Linked DNA regions of Macaca mulatta. The protein of the gene in region 1 purifies or fractionates together with the protein of each later gene. This does not show direct contact. Links are inferred from orthologs where the notes say so. Each region holds a gene or a part of one and is shown in the gene's direction. Other genes may lie near its edges. The genes, in order: SSB, LARP7, YBX1 and RO60.

Region 1 (6,160 bases):
AGAGTACCCTGACACTCATATTATTTGTTCTGTTAAATACGTGTATTCTCACTGACTTGATCAAAACAAGAATGAAGATTTCAATTGTGTCTGGCATAAAATAGAGACTAAATATTCGTTGAGTGGATAAAAGATAATCTAATTAATTTGAATTTAAACTACCTGAGCACAACGCTGTTAAATATGTTTTTTCTCATTGACCTTAAGAAAAGAAAAAGAGCCCAGAGCAGTCTGAACTATGTGAGGTATGCAGAATTTATCAGGCACAGCGAGAGATGAGTTTGGGACTTCAGTCATGTCCCTACACCCCTGTATTAGTCAGGTCTCACACTGCAATAAAGACATACCCAAGACTGGTTAATTCATAAAGAAAAGAGGTTTAATTGACTCACAATTCCGCATGTCTGGTGAGTCCTCAGGAAACTTACAATCATGGTGGAAGGGGAAGAGGCATGTCTTACACAGTGGCAGGTGAGAGGGAGCAAGGAAGAGCAAGGAAAACTGCCTTATAAAACCACCAGGAGAACAGCATGGGGGAAACCATCCCTGTTACGTGGGTCCGTGTGAAGAGACCACCAAACAGGCTTTGTGTGAGCAACACGGCTGTTTATTTCACCTGGGTGCAGGCGGGCTGAGTCCGCAAAGAGAGTCAGCGAAGGGAGATAAGGGTATGGCTGTTTTATAGGATTTGGGTAGGTAAAGGAAAATTACAGTCAAAGGGGGGTTGTTCTCTGGTGGGCAGGAGTGGGGGGGTCACAAGGTGCTCAGTGGGGGAGCTTTTTGAGCCAGGATGAGCCAGGAAAAGGAATTTCACAAGATAATATCATCGCTTAAGGCAAGGACCGACCATTTTCACTTCTTTTGTGGTGCAATGTCATCTGTTAAGCCGAGGCAGGGCATTTGCACTTCTTTTGTGATTCTTCAGTTACTTCAGGCCATCTGGGTCTATACGTGCAAGTCACAGGGGATGCGATGGCTTGGCTTGGGCTCAGAGGCCTGACAATTCCCATGATCCAATCACCTCCCACCATGTGTGTGGTTCCTCCCCTCCACACTTGGGGATTATGCGGATTACAATTTGAGATGAGATTTGTGTGGGGACAGAGAACTAAACTATATTAATCACCATGCTTGGGGGGCAATTGTTTAACGTCACTATGTTTCTTACTACCTGCTTCATCCATTTTCATGTTCTTGGAATTTGTGATACAAAGAACAATGTATAGCCAATCAATAGCTTATGTTATTGTAATGTAAATTATTGGTAAACAACTTAGGAATTGCCTCTTCTTTTTTCTTTAAAAATCTACTTGTAAGGGCTGCTAATCAGAGCATATATTCAGAGCAATTTGAATCCATGCTCTCACGTGGCAGTCCTCAAACTTGGCTCAAATAAACTGTCTACTTATACTAATTTTGCCTCAGTTTTTCCCTTTAGGTTGACAATATTGCATCAAGTTGAATACTTACAGCAATTGTATGAACTAGGTAGTATTTATTATTGGTCCTATTTATACCTGAGGAACACAGAAGTTGAACAACTTGCCCGAGATCACAGTTTCACAGCAGGAGGAGGACCATTATTTGAAGCAGGCAGTCTGATTCCAGACACCCAGTTTTTACACGCTGTACTGTACTGTCTTCAAAACTGAGATTACATGGATCTTTGATTTTTTTTTAAAATTTCACTTGTCCTTTTTTTTTTTTGAGAACTACTACACGATATGTGTGTGTATTCACACACATCTTTGGAAAAGATCTGAAGAGAAACCCAAAACACTTCATATGAATGGAGGGCCAAAGGAAGGGCTGGGGTACAGACGCCGTCCAGAAATACTTAAAAATAAATGTTTATACTAACACAAACTAGCAGCCATTCCCCTATACCCTGCGGTACTTTTTAACCCAATCTGTTTGCGATTGAGGGCGGGGACTCCAGGGTCCCTGGGAGGCCCCGGCAGTCGCGCATGCTCAGAGCACAGGGACCGCTCCAGCTCGTCCTTGGCCCCGCCCACCCAGGCCGCAAGGGCTGCTGGGACGGTCCCCATCTTCTTGGAGCGCTTTAGGCCGGCCGGCGGAGCTGGGAAGTGGAGTCGTTGGTGTTCCTGTGTGTGAGCCTGTGGCGCGGCTCTGTGGGCCGGAACCTTAAAGGTGAGCAATTCTTGGTGGCTAATGAGAAGCTACAATAAGGGCCCGCTTTGCTGGTGCGCGACTGCGCGTTTTCGTTCCTTACTGCTTCTCGCGGCGTCCGTCCTTCCCTCGCCTTCCTCACGTTCAGGCCGAGCGCCGCGTGGGCCTCAGCCGGAGGCGGCGGAGCGGAGGGGGCGCGGGCGGCGGCGAGGCCGCCCCCGCGAGGAATGCGGGATCCTGGGGTTCCCCGCATGTGGCTGGTGCCCAGGCAGTTCCGCGGTTGCTGAGAGACGGGACTGTGGCTGCCCCCATCCCCACTGCGTCTTTTCGGTTTTTTTTACCTCCACCGCGTTCTGGTCTCACCGAAGGCTTCTGGCCATCTCTGTAAGTTTCTGCGGAGGTGGTTACGGGTAAACGTCGGAGGATTCTGTGGAGCCTATGGGACTGACTGGAGGCCAAAGAACTTTGGGCCGCAGATGTACCCCAGTGTCACTCTTGGTCTGTTAGGGCCTTCATCGCTCACATCAGGTTTCGGTGTGAAACGGGAAAACGTGGGTAATATTTCACTTACAGTCGTGCATTCTGGAAAATTATCTGATGAAGCGCATTTCCAAAATTAGGCCAAATAGATTTTGCAAGTTCTAAATAGTTCTTTTATTTCATCGTTTGCTTTGTAGGGGCCTCTAGATCACTGTGGTAACTTAGGAGTGTAAATTGTGATAGACAAGACAATGCATGAAATTGAATAATTTCTCTAGGGGGATGTGGATCACGCAGTACCCCGTTGCAAGTGCTTCCTATGTGTATCCAGGGTAGCGAATGCAATTGCAGTGTGTCAGGCGATGTTTCCAAGAAGTGTACCTACATCAGTTCATAACTAGAGTCAACTAATGGCAATATTCTTGATAATTTGTTCACATAACTTTTGTACAATTGGGATGACTGGGTGACTTAGTAGAGTCCTAGAGGCAAGTACTTTGTAATTAGAAGACTTGGTTTGTAATTTCTAGCAAACCAATAGCACAGCCTCCTTTTTTTCCTGCAATGCTAATGTCAGGAATACGAAACAGGAAACTGGCTATCCAATGTATTAGTAAATTAGTAGGCATACTCCCCAGTTTAATGTTTTGCTAGTGTGACCACATTCTCCCATTTTTGTTTTCGTGTGTTCCTGAGCATAGAGTATCTAAGGAACTGTAACGTTTTTCACCTTAAAAGTTATAATACAAGGTTTGGGTAAGTCAGTTGTGACTGCATTTTAAAAGAAATAAGGCCGGGCGCGGTGGCTCACGCCTGTAAACCCAGCACTTTGGGAAGCCGAGGCGGGTGGATCGCCTGAGGTCAGGAATTCAAGACCAACCTGACCAACATGGTGAAACCCCGTCTCTACTAAAAATACAAAAATTAGTCAGGCGAGGTGGCGGGTGCCTGTAATTCTAGCTACTCAGGAGGCTAAGACGAAAAAATCACTTGAACCTGGGAGGCGGAGATTGCAGTGAGTCGAGATCGCGCCATTGCACTCCAGCCTGGGCAACAAGAGCGAGACTCCGTCTCCAAAAAAGAAAAAAGAAAGTGAACCAAACCAAACAAGTGTACAGCGAGCCATGGTGACATACTGACAGATATCTGTTTAAAGCTGGAAATGGTTAGTAAGTGATTGGAGTTTTTTTCCGTAAATCTTTCTTGACCAGCCAAGTGAGATAAACAGTTTCTTGTTATAGAAGATGGGGTAGTGATTTACTGAAAGAGAGAGAGGTTTTTTATAGTTTTTAGATTTTTTCATCACTTATTCCAAAGTGTTGCTTCGTTGAGATATTTGAGAATTGAGTAAATAAACAACCTGTGAAAACAGAAATTCCTGATTTTTTAAGAAAACAATGGGATAGTAATACTTTGTAAACATTCTCTTTCTAGTCTTGAGTTTTATATAAAAAAATAACTTTATGCTAATTTGGGAAATTTTACAGATAGCCACAATGGCTGAAAATGGTGATAATGAAAAGATGGCTGCCCTGGAGGCCAAAATCTGTCATCAAATTGAGGTATGATTCCTGTGCTATAAACTGCAAAAACAAGTTCCTTGAAAGAAAATGTAGGACCGCAACACAAATACAGAAAGAACATTTCATTTCAGTATATGGACATATTCAACATTTGGTTTGCCTTTGATTCTTAGATGAACATATAATAGCATACAGTTTTATACTGGTGGAGCCAGGTTGTGAAACTTAAGATGTTACAAACATTTCAAAAGGTAACACTATAAACTAGTTACTTAATCTTTTTAAAATTTTAGTTTCATAGTCTCATATAAAATTTTAGCTTCTTAGTCCCATGTAAAATGAGGATAATAGTAGTTCCCTCCTCATAAGGTAGTTTGGAGGATTAGTGAATATAATGTTAAGTACTTAGAAGAATGCCTGACACATAAGTAACATAAAAGTCCTTGGTAAAGTACCTTCCCTGTTAAATAACACTATATTTTTGATGATCTTCGTAGTTTTTTTCTGCCCAGTCAGTTCTCAGCTATTGTAACTTTAATATAGTATTTTTTTTTTTTTGAGCTGGAGTCTCACTCTGTTGGCCAGGCTGGAGTGCAGTGGCACTATCCTGACTCACTACAACAGTCTCGGCTCACTGTAGCCTCTGCCTCCTGGGTTCAAATGATTATCCTGCCTCAGCTGCCAAATAGCTGGGACTACAGGAACACGCCACCACACCAGGCTAATTTTTGTATTTTTAGTAGAGACGGAGTTTCACCATGTTGGCCAGGTTGGTCTCGAACTCCAGACCTCAGGTGATCTGCCCACCTCAGCCTCCCAAAGTGCTGGGATTACAAGTGTGACCCACTGTGCCTGGCCAGTAATTTTAATATAGTATCTGTTTTCAAACTCCTCTTAGCATTTTTTCAAATTTAGGTATTATGTTTATGTTAACGTAATAACCTCAAGTGATCCTCAGTACCTTTGCAGTACGGAGGCAGGAGGATGGCTTGAGTCCAGGAGTTAGAGACCAGCCTGGGCAACATGATGAGGCCCCATCTCTACAAAAAATTTTTAAAAATTAGCTGAGTGTGTTAGCGGTTTGCCTGTAGTCCCAGCTACTTGGGAAGCCGAGGTGGGAGGATTGATGGAGCCCAGAAGGTAGAGGCTGCAGTGGCTGTGATCATACCACTGCACTCAAGCCTGGATGACAGAGTGAGATACTGTTTTGGGGGGTCAGGGGGAAGAAACTTGAGAGTCTTTGTGAGCATACTCTGGCTGGGGAGGCTTCCTGATTTGCAAATCGTTCTTTGTTCAGTTAAAGTCAAAAAGAAAAAAACCTTTAAATCTTTACAATATCAATAATGGTTGCATAGGAAATTATCTTTAAACTTATGTTCTTGCTAAGGAATCCCTCAGATCATATTGTTTGGTGTGGGTTTTTTCTGCAATTCTCTGAACTGCTTTTTTTCTTTTTTTTTTTAAGCTGCACCTCTGCATTTAAAATGTCTTATGTTCCTTTTTTTTAATATTAATTTCCTTATGATTGTGGGGAGAAAAATTAGAAATTACTCATTCTGTGTTTAATACTTAGAACAATACTAAGATGTATATAGAAAAGGTTACATCTCTCCTACAACCTGCTCTCAAATCCTACTCTTCTAAGGTAATCAAGGTTAAAAGCTTTTGACACTTTGCTTCATGCTCATATTAATTTTTATTTTTTTAGTGGACCTTATATTTTACAACAGTTCTAGGTTTACAGCAAAATTGAGTGGAAGGTACAGAGATTTTCCATATATCCCCTGCCTCCACACAAGCATAGTGCCTTCACCTTTAAAAACATCCCCCACCACAGTGGTACATTTCTAACAATTTTATTTCCTTCCCTTTCCCCCGCTAAACATAGGATGCATTTTTGTGGAGAAAAGTTTTGTAATCAATAATTTTTTCATCCTCCTCTTTAAAACCAAGGATCCAGCCGGGCGCGGTGGCTCACGCCTGTAATCCCAGCACTTTGGGAGGCCGAGGCGGGTGGATCACAAGGT
Region 2 (5,581 bases), on another chromosome or scaffold:
CCACCCAGGAGAAAGTTAATGCAACAGGACCACAGTTCGTGAGTGGAGTGATTGTGAAGATCATTAGCACAGAGCCTCTACCTGGCAGGAAACAAGTCCGGGTAATGATTTTGAGCCCGTAGGGTATTTGTTCCTTTCTTGTCTTAACTTCCCTGTGTGATAATGTTTTGAATATGGAAGATAAATCAAATTAGAATTTGTATCTCTATGGTAAACTACCTGTACAGTTTTAATTCCATGGTAACTCTTAGGTTTAATTTTGAAGCAAAAACTAGAGACTGAAATTCTTCACTGAGTCCATTTTATAGTAAGCACAGTTTAAACATCCTTCTTTATAGGAAAATTGTAACTTTTGCTTATTTTTATTGGCACGGATTTATTTTTTTGTATTACCTATGTGCTGATTATCTTTAAAATTGTAATTATAGAAAAGTGTAAAATATTTTTGAAGACCTATAGAAATCTTTCACACATGTGCCAAAAAACCCATAGTTCTATATAATTTACGCTACAAATTGCTGTACACACAGGTTTATAATCTTTTTTTCGTTTTGTACAGTCTATCTTCTATAGCCTTTTATACCACACTGGTAGCAATACTTCTTTCTATTAGGGAAAAGTAAGTATATACTTTTATGTGAGAGTACCGTATCTTATTTACCCTTACCCTGCCTGTGACCCATTTAAGTCAATCCTTTTCTTTTTAAAAAGTGTGAAATGCTCTGTAACATACCACATATTTTAAGTATTTTCTTATACTGACATTCATCATCACTTAGTATATTGTTTTGGTTTCACATAGACTCATCAGTCACAGGTTTTAACTTGAATATCATTGAGGTGGTTGTTTATCTGTAAGCACTCCTTATCTGAAATGCTGTCCTACAATCCTATAGCTGTCACTAAGAAACAAATTTTGATTCTCTTTCCAATATTGGTGAAGGATTTGGCCAAATCCAAATTGCTATTACCAACTTGCATTTCAGGAGACAGCTGAAAATTGAGGGATGTAAATACCGCTCTGGTTAATCAGATTGCAAAACATTTAATAAAAAAAATTACTCAGTTATTTGTAATCACTCATTAAATAACTTTTATTATTTAAATGGTAACTATATCAATTACAAATTCATCATTTATGATCATCAAAATCATAAAATCAATCCCTGCATTAATCCAGTTAGTAGTTACTTACATTTTGCTGAAACAAAAACTGAGCTGTGATGGTGGTTACAGCTGTCTGTGACTTGCCCATGTGATTACTAGGCTAATTTGTCCTTCTATGGGTTTTAAATTCTGAGGGTTTTAAATCAAGAGATTAGCCTGACATTATAATGGATATTTAGTAAATATCTTTTGAGTTGTAGTAATTGAATATGCTCAGAAGTCAGTTATAAAACTCATTACTAGTACTGAATGCATTCAAATTTCAACAATACTGAATTTTTTACTTGCTTTATATCTAAATTTGGTACTAATTAATTAGATAAAGAAGTGGGAAGGACTAGCAAGTATATGTCTCTGCAGTTCTTTTTTTTTTTTTTAATTTGGCAAACAGTTACCAAATGCCTGTTTTGTGCTAGTTTGCTGAGTGTTGGGATGAGTTAAGATCTGGTCCCTGGCTTCTAGAAATTCATAGATTTTATTATATATTTTTTATTGTTAACTGATAAACTTGTCTTATTCTATGATGAAATAATACTCCCAGGTATTGCTCAATTCTTTCCATAAATCAAACATCTAAAAATTCAACATTTGAACATAATCTAAATTAGTTGTGTCCTGAAAATGTAGGTTAAAACTAAAGTGAGGCAAGATAAGAAAGATTTTTTTCCCCCATTTAGGAATCTGCAGTTATTTCTTTAGCTTTGTGAATGGAAGTTGATGAATTAGGAATTAGTGTAACATTCCTGCATAAATGCATTGTATACTCTGTAAAACCTGCTGTGAGGGAAAAAAAAAAAGTTGATTAAGAATGCAGGAATCTGGTTAATTTGCCCTCACAGCAGGCAGTGTAGGTAAAACTTTTCCTTGCTGGGTGACCACAACTTGTTTAGAAGAGGTTGCTTAGGTATTTTTTTCAGAAAGTAAGAGCTCTTGAACAATTTGGAAACCTAGTATCTTAGGTTCAGTAAAACTGTTTTTCATGAGTTGTTATTAAAAGTTGAGTGATTTGTACACATATTTTAAAGTCATAGTGATTTTCTGCAGGTGAGTAAAAACAAACCTCCCTTAATCCTTTTTTTTTTTTTTTAAATTTTATTCCTTATACTAACTACTCCCAGATGTGAACCCTTCCTGATTTGGGGATTGGGGGACACTATTTCTGCTTTCTGCTCTACAAATCTGTTGTCCTTATAGAATATTCCCATTCTAGTTCAGATTTTACGGATGTGATTTCAAGAAAATAAAGGAAAATAAATTGTTAGAGTTGATATTATTCAAATCTATTTTTAAGAACATGCTTTACAAGAAATGTTTGATATAGGATATTTGCTCCTCATTAGTCTGCAAAATGCTTTATTTACATAATATATTCTGGCATAACCATTGGAATAGTTTTAGAATTATTGTGAAACATTTTAAATTTTATTTGTCTTTCTACTTAATTCTAATGCAGGATACTTTGGCAGCAATCTCAGAAGTTCTTTATGTTGATTTGCTTGAAGGGGATACAGAATGCCATGCTAGATTTAAAACTCCTGAGGATGCTCAAGCAGTAATAAATGCATATACAGAAATTAGCAAGAAACACTGCTGGAAACTCGAGATCCTTTCTGGTAAAACTTCATAGAAGTGTTTTTTTTTTTTGTAACCATCCTTATTGTGGGTAACATTTTCTGAGTTTGGCTAATGAAACTAGTTTTGTTTTTTGTTTGTTTGTTTTTTGTTGTTGTTTTTTTTTTTTTTGGTCTCACTCTGTCGCTCAGGCTGGAGTGCAGTGGTGTGATCTCAACTCAACGCAACCTCCACCTCCCAGGTTCAAGTGATTCTCCTGCCTCAGCCTCCTGAGTACTTGGGATTACAGGCGTGTGTTACCACGCCTGGCTAATTTTTATATTTTTATTTTATTTTTTGAGACAGAGTTTCGCTCTTGTTGCCCAGGCTGGAGTGCAATGGTATAATCTCAGCTCAGTGCAACCTCTGCCTCCTGGCTTCAAGTGATTCTCCTGCCTCAGCCTCCCAGGTTAGCTGGGATTACAGGCATGTGCCACCTTGCCCAGCTAATTTTATGTTTTTGGTAGAGACGGGGTTTCTCCATGTTGGTCAGCCTGGTCTTGTCTTGAACTCCCGACCTCAGGTGGTCTGCTTGCCTTGGCCCCCTGAAGTGCTGGGATTACAGGCATGAGCCACTGCACCAGGCAATTTTTAGTAGAGATGGGGTTTTGCTATGTTGGCCAGGCTGTTGTCGAACTCCTGACCTCTGGTGATCCTGCCTCCTTGTCCTCCCAGAGTGCTGGGATTAGAGGTTTCAGCCACCGCACCTAACGAAACTAATAATTTTATTTCTATTCTGTAATATGTATAAAGTGGCATTAAATATAATCAAAAACTGTCCTAGTTCTGTTACTGAGAATGTAATGCCTTGAATATGGTTTTTCAGATGTGTTCTTCTTTTCATCCATCAGAGTTTTTGTTTGTTTTTAAGGTGATCACGAACAAAGGTATTGGCAGAAGATTTTGGTTGATCGACAGGCAAAACTTAATCAGCCTCGGGAAAAGAAAAGAGGCACTGAAAAGGTAATTAATTCATTTTTGTTTTTTTAGACTAAACTTTCTTTGAACATTTAATGCCAAAGTCAGTATAGGTAGTCATAAAATGATCTTAGCTTTGCTATTACCTAACAAAGATTTACTGAGTATATACTATGTTTTAGGTTGGGAGGAAAAAGTCATTTCTCTAGATTTCAAAATGTGTGAAATTATTTTTCTCACAAGGATACATAATTATAATTTAGAGTTTTTCTTTTTAACTAGTGATACTTTAACAATCTTGATTTCTGGCTGCTATGTCTTGTAGTTTGGTGGTAAATGATTATAGAAAGATTATCGTAATGGTAAAACCACAACATATTTAGAATGTAGTTTCTAAAGATAGGAAGCTCCACAGATAAGATGGAGAGACTTTATGCATAGTGTTTCCTATAGCAACGATAAGCTTTATTCCTCTTTCTCTAAGATAGTCAGTAGGTAATACAAACAAGCTTAAATAATTTAAAGCAAGCCCCAGCCAGGTGGGTGGATCACAAGGTCAGGAGATCGAGACCACAGTGAAACCCGGTCTCTACTAAAAATACAAAAAATTATCCGGACACGGTGGCGGGCGCCTGTATTCCCAGCTGCTGGGGAGGCTGAGGCAGGAGAATGGCATGAACCCGGGAGGCGGGGCTTGCAGTGAGCTGAGATCCGGCCACTGCACTCCAGCCTGGGCGACAGAGCAAGACTCCGTCTCAAAAAAAAAAAAAAAAAAAAAGCAAGCCCCTCTTTCAGTAATTTTATTTTTCTGTCACTCAAAATGATATTATAAAAGTGTAAGAGGCCGGGCGCGGTGGCTCAAGCCTGTAATCCCAGCACTTTGGGAGGCCGAGACGGGCGGATCACGAGGTCAGGAGATCAAGACCATCCTGGCTAACACGGTGAAACCCCGTCTCTACTAAAAAATACAAAAAACTAGCCGGGAGAGGTGGCGGGCGCCTGTAGTCCCAGCTACTCGGGAGGCTGAGGCAGGAGAATGGCGTGAACCCGGGAGGCGGAGCTTACAGTGAGCCGAGATCGCGCCACTGCACTCCAGCCTGGGCGACAGAGCAAGACTCCGTCTCAAAAAAAATAAAAAATAAAAAAAAATTAAAAAAAATTAAAAAAAAAAATAAAAGTGTAAGAAAAAAGAAAAAGATGAACTTCCTTTTTTGTTAGGTGAGCACTTTAAAAGTCCTATTTCCTGTAATCTAAGGTTGTTGATTTGGGGTCATATTTATTTTAAAAAAAAAAATTTTTTTTTTTAAGTTAAAAGGCAAGCATTTTTCATCAACCTTCTTCCATTGCCCAGAATTTATTGTGATTTGTGAGGAGGTGTCTTACTGGTCTTTGTGAATTTTGTTTCCTTGAAAGGAGACTGAACTTGCTGTGGTGGGGAAGCCGCCTGTGCTTCCCAAGGATTCTTTCAGGGATACGAGGTGTTAATTTCAAAGCCTGTTTGAGATTATTCAAATGTTAAAATCACTGATCCAGAACTGGTAACTGAAGTGAAGTCACTTTGTTAAATAATACCCTTCTAATTGCTGTGAAATTTCATTTAGATTGTATATATTTTTTAAACTAGGAATAAATCATTTATTTTTCATTTTAAAAATTTAGAGCTCATCTTTGACTAGGAAATTTCTTAAATCGAGTTGGAACACAACTCAGTTATGATGTCAGGATTGTTGTTAACACAGTTTGTTAAGTAGCTATGGAAGTAGCAAGTTGACTCTTGTGAAATGAAATGGAGGTTACCACACAAAGTAAGTGCTGTGCAAAGCTTGTTGGAAAAAAGGAGTAGACCATAATTAGTTTAGCCAACTTGTTTGCTAGTTAATTCAAC
Region 3 (5,593 bases), on another chromosome or scaffold:
CATAGGTTGGTGCTTTGTAGCTCACTGAAGTGTCCTACACAGCATTCAATGGCAAGGAGGAAGCTGTATCAATTTCTAGTACATCCACAACCCAATCAGGTAGTTCAGGGTCAATTTTAATTATGGAAACATTTAAAATTCTAAATGTAGATAAATACAGGACTACTTCAGACAAATGTTATTTTAAAGCAAATGTTTTATAAAATTGGTATTCTTGTTTGGGTGAACACAGCTCACCTGTTCCTTATTCCCCTTCTACATGTTCAAAAGAATATGTAGACTTAGGAACAAGAGACAGCAAAGTTTATCAGTCTTGTTGCCTGTTGGCAACCCTTAAGGGTTGGGGTTGGGGCAGGGGTTGGAGATGTTGATAAAAATAAAGAGTTGGGATTTTAATTATCCGTACTTCTGCTATCCCCTATGACTGCAGGTAATTGATAGTTGGCTATATATGAAAGGTATGAAAACTATGTGACAGTTTAAATGACAGATGAGATCAATTATTTGACTCAACTCACCCGGTTGTACTGATTCACAAGGTGCCACCAATAGCTTTCATTTTTTTGGAAGTGGTTTCAACATGTAGTTGTTTCCTGGGACTTTGGCTGCTCAGGTCTTAGTGGTGTATCAAGGAGACTGCAGTTCTGGGCAGCTTCACTTAATTGGCCTCAGATTCGTTGGTTGTCCTGTCTCCTCTGCAGTGGAAATGCGTGAGTGATCCTGTAATGGATATAGCTGGGATTTGGAGTGAACATGGAATTTGGAGACCCAATACCTGGGTTTAGAAAGTCTCCTTACTAACTGTGTGACCTTGGGCAAGTCACCTAACTTTAAAGCCTGTTACATTATCTGTAAAATGGGATTAACAATACTTTCACATGTCCTGTCTCATAATGAGATTGAATAGGTAGTAAGTGAAAGAATATTGCAAAAAAATTTCATAGAAACGTGAGATGTTACTCTTCCTCCCTTCTCCTAACAGTCTGAGAAGTAGAAGCAACAAGTCTCTAATACAAGATTTATTGAATGCTGGAGAGGTGATAAGTAACAATTCCATGCAGTCAGATCATATAAAGAATGACATAGTTAATACACGTGAATTGCATTTCCACTGACGTATTATCAGATTGGAAGGGATTTGGGTTGACATTTGTAATTGAGTTTGATATGGTAACACAGGGGCAAAGTTGGTTTGGTCAGCTGTGAAGCATGCAAAACCCAACTCGCCTGTCATCTAAACTGACCCATGTGGGGCCACCTTCTACTATTAAGTGCAGTCTTTAGGGGATAGATGGAGATCCTCATTTGTTCAAAATTACATATAATGCTTTTGCAAAAAGCAGTTTTTAAAATGTTGTGTCTGTCTTGAGTGTTAAATTACTTGTTTTAGTTTTGTAAATAGTGGTAAAATGCTGGGGCCTTGTATGATTGGAGTGTTTTTGTTGAAGTTGGGGATAGCGTGGTCCCTGCTTTCCCAAATTTATTGATGATTTGGTCTTATTTAAAGCAAATCTTAAGTGTATATCCAAGCTAAAATAATATTGACTCTGGTACATTTTAAATGAAAAAGCACATTATTCTCCCCTGTTAATCTGTTTTTGGAATGTGATATTACTAGACTGCCATAAAGAAGAATAACCCCAGGAAGTACCTTCGCAGTGTAGGAGATGGAGAGACTGTGGAGTTTGATGTTGTTGAAGGAGAAAAGGTGAGGATGCTTTTTGTGTAAAGGTTTGACTTCAGTATGGAAATATTTTGGAGGTCTCATCTGTTAGGATGGTGGCTCTAATGTGGATGGATGTGTTCAGGTGACCTCATGAACACAGGTGCATCAAGCCTAATGTTCTGGCTGCAGTTAGAGGGCAATCTCTTCAGAACAGTGAGGAACTGATATTTAGTCATTTCTGTGCACCCCTGGCCACGCAGTCGCCCACCCCCCTTTTTGTTTTCCTTAACTTTGTTTTTTGCTTTGTTTGAAATTTGTTGAAAGTGTTCTGATTTCCTTTGTCACTATCAATATGTAATGGCTTTTGTAGGGTGCGGAGGCAGCAAATGTTACAGGTCCTGGTGGTGTTCCAGTTCAAGGCAGTAAATATGCAGCAGACCGTAACCATTATAGACGCTATCCACGTCGTAGGGGTCCTCCACGCAATTACCAGCAAAATTACCAGAATAGTGAGAGTGGGGAAAAGAACGAGGGATCGGAGAGTGCTCCCGAAGGCCAGGCCCAACAACGCCGGCCCTACCGCAGGCGAAGGTTCCCACCTTACTACATGCGGAGACCCTATGGGCGTCGACCACAGTATTCCAACCCTCCTGTGCAGGGAGAAGTGATGGAGGTAAGTTTCACCATCAGCAACAGCAATGTGATAAGTTCTGGTAGGACTGTTTAGAGCTGTTAATCATATGGAAAGCACCTTTGATTCCTAGTAAGAACTAACAGGATTAATTTATAGTGTAGTCACAGTTACTAGATGGTCTGATTTTTTGTTTGTTTTTTAACTCTGGATTTCCTGGTAAGGTTATTATGTTACTGACCCAGTAGCCTTGATTTCCATTATCTTTTTCAGGGTGCTGACAACCAGGGTGCAGGAGAACAAGGTAGACCAGTGAGGCAGAATATGTATCGGGGATATAGACCACGATTCCGCAGGTATGGTCCACATAAACCTCTGTTAGAACTCAGCAATATCATGCCTCTCCCGCAGACTTTTGGACTCATTTTTCTGTTAACACTTCACGTTTCCTTTCATCAGATGCCTAAGAGGTGAACCTGTTAAAAACAGCTCATATAGATGAGGTCAGCTTTATACATAAATTTTTTTTTTTTAAATGATGAGGGTATGGAATTTCAAATTTTCTATCCTTGAACAGGTAAGATAATATTTTAAACCACGTCTTTTAAACCTGCCTCCTTGGTAGGGAGAAAGGAAAGCATTAGGAGTATCTGAATTGTACCATGGCATTAGTGAAGAATCAGCAGTAAGTGTTAACCACTTGAAATGGCATACATAATCTTCCACTAATTCTTAGTTTAGGTATGTACCCCCCCTTTTTTTGGAGTTGGGATGTCAGCTCAAAGTTGCAAAATGAAATTGCTCCATGAAGAATTTACATTCTGGGAGGAAAAATCTGGTCTATCATTAGACAACTAATCTATCTGCTTGAATGGGTATTAGAAATCTTATTAATAGATGTCATTATTAGAGTAATGGAGGAAAAATTCCGTGAGCCAAGCGTATTTTAGTCCATGCTGTGGTGTGCTTTAAGGCAGCGTTCCCAGTCCCACGATGGTAGGATAGAATGGTGTAATCGTTCTTTCTGTGAGGGTTTGCTATTGAAGTATTAAGTTTTCATAGGTGATCCCTAAAATCTGACAGGTACCTCTGAAGAATCAAACCAATACAGTAATAATGCATCTTAACTGATCACTTAAATCACAACTTTTAAATCCCCAAATTTTTAAGTGTCAAGTTTATTATTCTAGAAGTATCCAACATATCCAAAATATACTGTGAGTATATTTTGAGGGGGTTTCTGTATATAGGTTTTTAAATTTTACAAAAGTCGGAGCACTTAGTGTAGTTTTAGGAACTAGGGAATCTAGTTGAGGTTGTATTACATACTTATCAGCACGTGTACATTGAGAGTTTTGCAAGAGCAGCTGATGTCATCATATTTCTTGTGTTAATATATGTCCTGTCCTGAGTTTTCAGTTAAAAGAGCTGGGATCCTAACTGATCACTACTAGAATTGAAGATCTCTGATTCAGTTTTCTGCCAGGAGATTGTGTTAGCCAGATGCTGGATGTTGAAGATAGATGGGTTTTTATTTTTCAAAGTAGATCTAAAATAGGCTCTCATGTATTAAGTCCATGGGTTCCAGCAGCAGAATCTTTGGTTTACCTTTTTATTACACTGAAGAGCTTAAATGTTTTGCCAAACTAGTTTCATAGATGTCCTTAAAAATAGTATAATTTTGTGTTTGTATTCAGTACTTCAGTTCACTGTTGAGCAAATTGTTTTTATATTGACAAACAAGAAGCTTGAGATTGACTTGTCTCTTAGAAAGGTATCTTTATCCATTGTTACCCCTCCAGTGCAAAGGTTTTTGCCATTTCATTTAAGTTAGACTTAATGTCTACGTGTTTCCATGTTTAGAATGCTCAATCCTGCCAGATAGTTAGCAGAAGTAACATATAATTGCTTTGAAGTTATTAATGAATGCTAGACTTTCCAAACTCTGCAGGAATCTTTTGTTCAAATGAGAGTAAATGAAACATGCTGCGCCTAATGCATGGAGTGGTGTGGTAAAATCCTGGCTGGTGTGGGTTCAAGAGCAAATTGAAAGAGAAGTCTTAAGACAGAGTGTAGTACAAGTTTTGCTGAAAAGGAGACAGGTAGTAGGGGAAAATGGGGAGTGAAAAAGGGAGGGTTTTTTTTGAGAAATAATATTTATAGGCTGAAATGCAATCGAGGATAACGGTTGATGGCAGGAAAGTGACTGCTGGAATGTTTTCTTCCTCAGAGCGAGTTGGGTTTTGCCCACAGGTGAAAATGTTGACCTGTTGTTAGAAACCTGATGTTTTCATGTGTAAGAAACAAGAATACATGGGCAAACATGTTTAATGGGAAGACATGGAAGCCTTTGTTTGCTCAATTGAGTCAAAAGAAGAGGAAGTTTGAAAAGTTTGGGGCAAAGAACCCTGTAGCAGAGAAAATAGAGATGGTAAATTTGTAAGTAATAGGATAACAATCATAAATTAGAAGTGAGTTCACCCAGCTTGGCTCTGTGTTTCTAGCCATTTGAGCATCAGGCTCAGATTGGGCAGAGAGTTGGATTTCTCTGGCATTGGTTTATCCAGACTTAGACCCTGGGGTAGGGATTGGTCATATGATTAATGGTGGACTTTATACTTGGATAAAGAGGGGAGAAAAGGGGAACATGAGGGGTTTTTAAAAATTGTGTTGTAGACATGGAGTTGTACTGTGTTACTCAAGCAGTCTTGAACTGCCCTCAAGTGATCCTCCCCAGGTGTTAGGATTACAGGTGTAAGCCACTGTGCCCAACCTTGGAGTGAGATGAACAGGTGATAGGATCGCTGTATTACAGGTCCTAGATGAAGAATGAGAAAACAATAAGGAATTAACTAGGAAAAATCAGAAGGTACATAATTGGAAAGGTGGGTGGTATAACTGAGAAAACCCAGGTAGAAAACAGCTGGACTGGGAGGTCGGTCTGAAAGCCCAGGTTATTAGAAGTTGTTATCCTCGAACCTTAATAATAACTGCAATAAGAAAAAGATAGTAAATGGAGCAGAATCCAAAATAAGATGGAACGCCTACAGTTTTTAGAAGCTAGGAGAGTTGATTTAGAAGCCACAATAAGGTTAGAACAGTCACCACTGGAGGGTTACAGAGAAAAGTCAGAACAATTTTGTTGAAGATTCATCATGAGTTCCAAAAGATGTGGGGAAAGAGTTTTAGAATGTACAAAGGTAAATGTGAATTTATTCCCATGATAACTGATAGATACTAAAGGCCTGGGGCTTTCTGGAGTGCTCAGGGTATGGGTGAAGGAAAGGCCAGGAATC
Region 4 (5,593 bases), on another chromosome or scaffold:
CATTTATCATTCTCTACAGAGTTTATCTTAAAGACTTGTATTATATATTGAATTACACATACTGAGGCTTTTATTCTCAAAATGTGTTATGGGAAAGAGAAACCAATTGTGCATGATTATTTGGGAAATGATTCAGAAAGTCAACTTTAATGATATTTGGCTTTAAGTATGTATTACTAATTACATAAAAGCAATACAAAAGAGGAGACAAAAATGATAAGATTTGGTTTCTACTCTCAAGGGAACCAATAATGTAGCTACATGTGGTCACAATGAATAATACAAAGAAAAGAATTTGAAGGGGAAGGGAATTTTGAGGTTTGGTTTGGGACCTTTTAAATCCCACCAGTTGGTCCTTGGTGCAGGAAAGCAGGTGTAGTAGAATTATCTGATATTAGATGTCATTTCAGTGTTACTCATCTAACAAATATAACTAATAAGTAGAAGTAGACAGGTTGAAGTGCCACCAGAGACTGTTTTTATGAAAGCTAAGGGAGAGACTAGCAGAGTCTATGCAATGTGAAGATCAGAAAAACATAGCATTTTCTACTGGAATTGGCAATTAAGGTATCAGTCTTTGTGAAGCATGTTAGTCTTCTTAAAGTGTTTTGGATCGAAAGGTAGAGATAAAAGCTAAATTGAAAAGAGGATAATAATAAATAGAAGAAGAGGCATCCACTACACCAGGAGTTCCAGCCTGTGCTGTATTCAGTAACTACAAATTTGTCCCTAATGACTAATATGATCATTACATCTCTGATACCACCTGAGACCCAGGCTTCCACTAACATAAGCAAATTTGTACTAGAATCTTATTTGGAATATTGACACTAATATTCCCAACACAATTCAGATCACTGTACCCCTCAGTCACAGTCACATTCACAATGTGAGGTTCTCCATTCTTCCATGCACTTATCCCCCTACACCACTATGTGTTCCCCTCTCTGAGACCCAGTCTTTCATTCCTCCCATCTCTACCAAATTTCTCCACATACCATTTGGCATTCTACATCTCCTGTCAGAGGGGAATGTCTTCAATTTCCTTATCCCTCACTCCCTCAAATCTCTCTTTACATATACTCTTCACCCTTAAAAGATAAAGGAAGTATCTCTTTTGCTGTTAGTAGGCCAGTCTCAACCTGGATGCTCTAAGCTCATTCTGTCTCATTTCTTTCAGGAATCTAATTCCTTCAGTTATCCCCCTTCTCTACTGTATCTTCACCTCTCCAAATTGAATCTTTCAATCTTAGCATCTTCCCGTTGAAAAAGGTAAAAAGATTTTTCCTCTAAGTCCCATCCTCTCTCTTACTTTCATTCATAGTTTTTGTGTCTACAAAGAGTAGTCTAGCTGTGAAGTTTCCTCACTGCATATCTTCCTGATCTCACTGTAATCAAGCTACTTCTTGTACCACTCTACTGCAGTTACTCTCACTAGTCACTCCTACTTGGTAAATCCAAGATCATTTTCTAGCCTTTTATTTACTTTTCCTCTGACCATTTGAAATTATCAACCATTCACTCCTTGAAGTTCTCTTCCTCGTGGTCCATTAGTTTTCTTCAACTCTGCACCTCCTTTTCTGCCTCTTTAAAAAGCCCTTCTCTCATTAGCTCTTAGTTGTTAATATTCACCAAGATTTTATCCTTAGCCTTCCTCGTAATATATAAACATGTTCAAGTAAGGATGGTCTTCAAAACAAAACTTCTTAATTACCTTGTGTTCCTCTTTAAGTTATGGCCATATCTGTCAACATGTCTGTATGGCTCTACAGGATGCTTAGACAGTTTCTTTTCTAGAATATAAAGACAGATTAGGATTTCAGAAACCTCTTCCTGGAGCGCCTTCCCTAAACTTTATCAGTTTTTTAGTTTGCCTTCTCTCCTCAAATCTTTCTGGATTATTTAGACAGTATTATTTTATACTCCCTTGCTCACTCATAATACTTTTCTACTACAGCACTTAATTACAGTTTGCATTGTGATTCTATCTCCACAAATGAGTGTATTTCCCTGCGATAAGGAGAACAATTTTTTTTTTCAGTTTCTTTAATGGCAGAGAAATTGCCTTCATGTCTCACACATAGTATCTATTCAGTAAATGCTGGTTGAAGTTTTTGTTGGTTGTGCTGTTTTGTTTGCCATGGACAGAAGCCCAGTGCACCGAAATAACATGACAGATTGAAAGACCTCCATAAACAGTGATACTGTACTAAGAATAGTGGTGGACTGATGATGAAGTGACAATTGTTGGTCCTCCACTAGAAGGATAAAGAGGGATATTGTTTCCAGATAGCTAGTTCTAGGAGTTTTAGAGCTAATGGAAGGAGTAGAGTGAGGGTAGTTACAGATGACATAAAACAATAAACCTAAAAATGGCTTAAACAGTAAGATACATTTATGACATAATAGGAAATGTATAAGCAGGGCAGTTTCAGGTAACCCAATATCAAGGACCTAGGTACTTTCTGTTTTTTTCTATTCTGCCATCTTTATATATTGGTGTGCCATTTTAAGCTGGCTTATCTCAAGGTCTCAAGATGGTTGTTACCACTCCAGGCATGACTTGCAAATGAAAATTTCAGAAGGCAGAAAAGGGAACATTTCTTTTTAAGAGCCTGAGCCCCCTTTTGAGAATGAAGAAAACCTCAAAAGTGTTCTTTACCATGATTTTACCATGATTTTACCAGCTTTACCATGGTAAAGCTGATTTACCATGTCGTACTGGCCAGAGTCATGACACATGCCCAACTCCCTATACCAGTCATGCGGCAAGGAGAGCACCATGATTATTGGGCCTGGGTCGAGCAGCAGCAGCAGCAGCATCACCCGAGACTTGTGATAAGTATACATGCTTAGGCCTCACTGGAGACCTACTAAATTATGAAAGAAACTCAGGGCAGTGCCTGGGAGGGCTGACCCAGCAATCTGTGTTTCAGTAAGAACTTCTAGTAATTTTGATGTACACTGAGTTTGAGAACCACTGGCTTAGAGCAATAAAGATCCATCCCTTGGGGCTAGGGAAAGGCCTAGCCTCCTTTGAAGGATATGAGGCCAACAAGAGGAGAAGAGAGAAGGGGGAAGAATGAATGTTAGATCGGCAACCAAAAATGTTTACACAATCCTTCAAGGAGTACGATCTTTCTTAGTACCCACTACTATTGCTTCCCTCCCTTCTTTTATTCTCTGTGTGGGCCTCAAGACGCCATACTGACCTGCCTGCTTAATCTCTGAAGCAGCACACTGTATCTCAAAAAGGTGACTCCTCAGTTGCTTCTGATTATCACACCACTGTGGCTATAATCTTGTTTGTTTGCTGTGAAGGGCTTTCAGTTTCTTTAGGTTATAAAAATAGGAATATAAAACAAAAACATTTAAAAAACTTAAGATACCGGCCGGGCACGGTGGCTCAAGCCTGTAATCCCAGCACTTTGGGAGGCCGAGACGGGCGGATCACAAGGTCAGGAGATCGAGACCATCCTGGCTAACACGGTGAAACCGCGTCTCTACTAAAAAAAATACAAAAAACTAGCCGGGCGAGGTGGTGGGCGCCTGTAGTCCCAGCTACTCGGGAGGCTGAGGCAGGAGAATGGCGTGAACCCAGGAGGCGGAGCTTATAGTGAGCCGAGATCCAGCCACTGCACTCCAGCCTGGGTGACAGAGCGAGACTCTGTCTCAAGAAAAAAACGAAAAAAACAAAAAAAACTTAAGATATTACCAGTAGTCATTTCAAAATATTCAGATATGGTTTTTTTCTTTCATTTTCTGCCTTTCCTGATTTTTCTTCAGGACATTTATATTGATTTTGTACTAAAGGAAAAACTATCGAACTTAAAAGATGTTGTTAAAAGAGTTAATAACATTTCAGTAAACCTACATTTTGTTTTCCTTTCTTAATTTTATTGTGCCCATCTAGTTGTAATAACATTTTGCCTTTTTGATAGGTTTCCTAAAGACAAAAAAATGGAGGAATCCGTAAACCAAATGCAGCCATTGAATGAGAAGCAGATAGCCAATTCTCAGGATGGATATGTATGGCAAGTCACTGACATGAATCGACTACACCGGTTCTTATGTTTCGGTTCTGAAGGTGGGACTTATTATATCAAAGAACAGAAGTTGGGCCTTGAAAATGCTGAAGCTTTAATTAGATTGATTGAAGATGGCAGAGGATGTGAAGTGATACAAGAAATAAAGTTATTTAGTCAAGAAGGCAGAACCACAAAGCAAGAGCCTATGCTCTTTGCACTTGCCATTTGTTCCCAGTGCTCCGACATAAGCACAAAACAAGCAGCATTTAAAGCTGTTTCTGAAGTTTGCCGCATTCCTACCCATCTCTTTACTTTTATCCAGTTTAAGAAAGATCTGAAGGAAAGCATGAAATGTGGCATGTGGGGTCGTGCCCTCCGGAAGGCTATCGCGGACTGGTACAACGAGAAAGGTGGCATGGCCCTTGCTCTGGCAGTTACAAAATATAAACAGAGAAATGGCTGGTCTCACAAAGATCTATTAAGATTGTCACATCTTAAACCTTCCAGTGAAGGTAAGCATAAGATCTTCATTGGGAACAAGGGTGGATAAGGGATATCCAATAAATAGCAAATTTTTATTTAACATAAGTGTGTAATATTTTCTAGAAATAGCCTTTCTTTCTCAAAACATGCATTAATTCAAATATGTTTAATGCCTTCCTGGGATTACACACCTACCACAGGCAATCCAGACATTAATAATCAAGAATCAAATGACGGGTTTATAGATTAATAATCTGAATCTTAAAGTGCCACTGTCCTAACTGGAATGCTCACCCAAGTGATTATGGACTGCGTAAGTAGCATGGACAGATTAAAAGTTGCAATAATCCTTGGATATGGGTACGATCATTAGAAGGAACTGCTTTTGAGTTCCAGCTTTGCCAGTTACTCAGCAGATATTCAAATTTGGTCTCAGTATAATCGTTTGTAAAACTTAGGTAAACTGTACACAACTATTCCATAAGATCATGTATAGAAAACTGCTCTGTAACCAATGAAATGCTAAGTAGAAAAGTAAAAAAAAAAAAAAAAAAAAAAAGGTGCAATAAGCAAAACAGCTCCTTGCCAGTAGGTGGCAGATGGCCATGCTGTACCCACTTCTCTAGCCCATTCTTTTTTTTTCCTCCCCATCTTCCTAGGACATGTGTTCCTTGGAACCTAAAGGGATATACCTTGTACAGTGCTGAACTTAACAGTTCAGGAAGTTAATTGTTTTCAGGCAGTCAGTCAGGGGACCTGATAACTTGGGGCAGTGTTTCTGTATCTATGGAAAGAGACTTTTGAAAAGTTAGTTGACTCTATAATAATTACTAGTCCTTTTAAGGAAAGAAATAAGAAAAACTCTTGGGCAGGAGTAATTTGAAGTGTGAAGTTCCACAAAAATCAACATGTACAAAATTTGACATTTTTTTTTTTTTTGCACCAGAAGTGAAACTTGAAAAGACAGCCACTCAGAAGGGTGGGTTCACGTTTCAGTTCTGTGGCCTTAAGCCAAGTAACAAGCTGAGTTTCTGTACCTTCATCTAAAAAGGAGGGTAAGGAGAATAAGCTTACAATTATTG

Evidence for each region.
Region 2: the proteins of SSB (region 1) and LARP7 purify together in Homo sapiens (affinity purification with mass spectrometry; 4 studies listed by BioGRID and IntAct, with this or other methods). This does not show direct contact. The link is inferred for Macaca mulatta from reciprocal best matches to the Homo sapiens genes SSB and LARP7.
Region 3: the proteins of SSB (region 1) and YBX1 purify together in Homo sapiens (affinity purification with mass spectrometry; 3 studies listed by BioGRID and IntAct, with this or other methods). This does not show direct contact. The link is inferred for Macaca mulatta from reciprocal best matches to the Homo sapiens genes SSB and YBX1.
Region 4: the proteins of SSB (region 1) and RO60 purify together in Homo sapiens (affinity purification with mass spectrometry; 3 studies listed by BioGRID and IntAct, with this or other methods). This does not show direct contact. The link is inferred for Macaca mulatta from reciprocal best matches to the Homo sapiens genes SSB and RO60.

Annotation. Positions count from the first base shown.
Region 1 is NC_133417.1:74,716,427-74,722,586, forward strand, and holds the start of SSB (lupus La protein), read left to right. Parts: upstream 1-2,054; 5' UTR 2,055-2,172; coding exon 2,173-2,514; intron 2,515-4,097; coding exon 4,098-4,172; intron 4,173-6,160. UniProt on the Homo sapiens protein: Binds to the 3' poly(U) terminus of nascent RNA polymerase III transcripts, protecting them from exonuclease digestion and facilitating their folding and maturation.
Region 2 is NC_133410.1:121,879,319-121,884,899, forward strand, and holds part of LARP7 (la-related protein 7), read left to right. Parts: coding exon 1-101; intron 102-2,620; coding exon 2,621-2,780; intron 2,781-3,649; coding exon 3,650-3,741; intron 3,742-5,581. UniProt on the Homo sapiens protein: RNA-binding protein that specifically binds distinct small nuclear RNA (snRNAs) and regulates their processing and function.
Region 3 is NC_133406.1:198,060,954-198,066,546, reverse strand, and holds part of YBX1 (Y-box-binding protein 1), read left to right. Parts: intron 1-1,618; coding exon 1,619-1,708; intron 1,709-2,036; coding exon 2,037-2,339; intron 2,340-2,570; coding exon 2,571-2,653; intron 2,654-5,593. UniProt on the Homo sapiens protein: DNA- and RNA-binding protein involved in various processes, such as translational repression, RNA stabilization, mRNA splicing, DNA repair and transcription regulation.
Region 4 is NC_133406.1:50,601,480-50,607,072, forward strand, and holds part of RO60 (RNA-binding protein RO60), read left to right. Parts: intron 1-3,941; 5' UTR 3,942-3,960; coding exon 3,961-4,540; intron 4,541-5,593. UniProt on the Homo sapiens protein: RNA-binding protein that binds to misfolded non-coding RNAs, pre-5S rRNA, and several small cytoplasmic RNA molecules known as Y RNAs.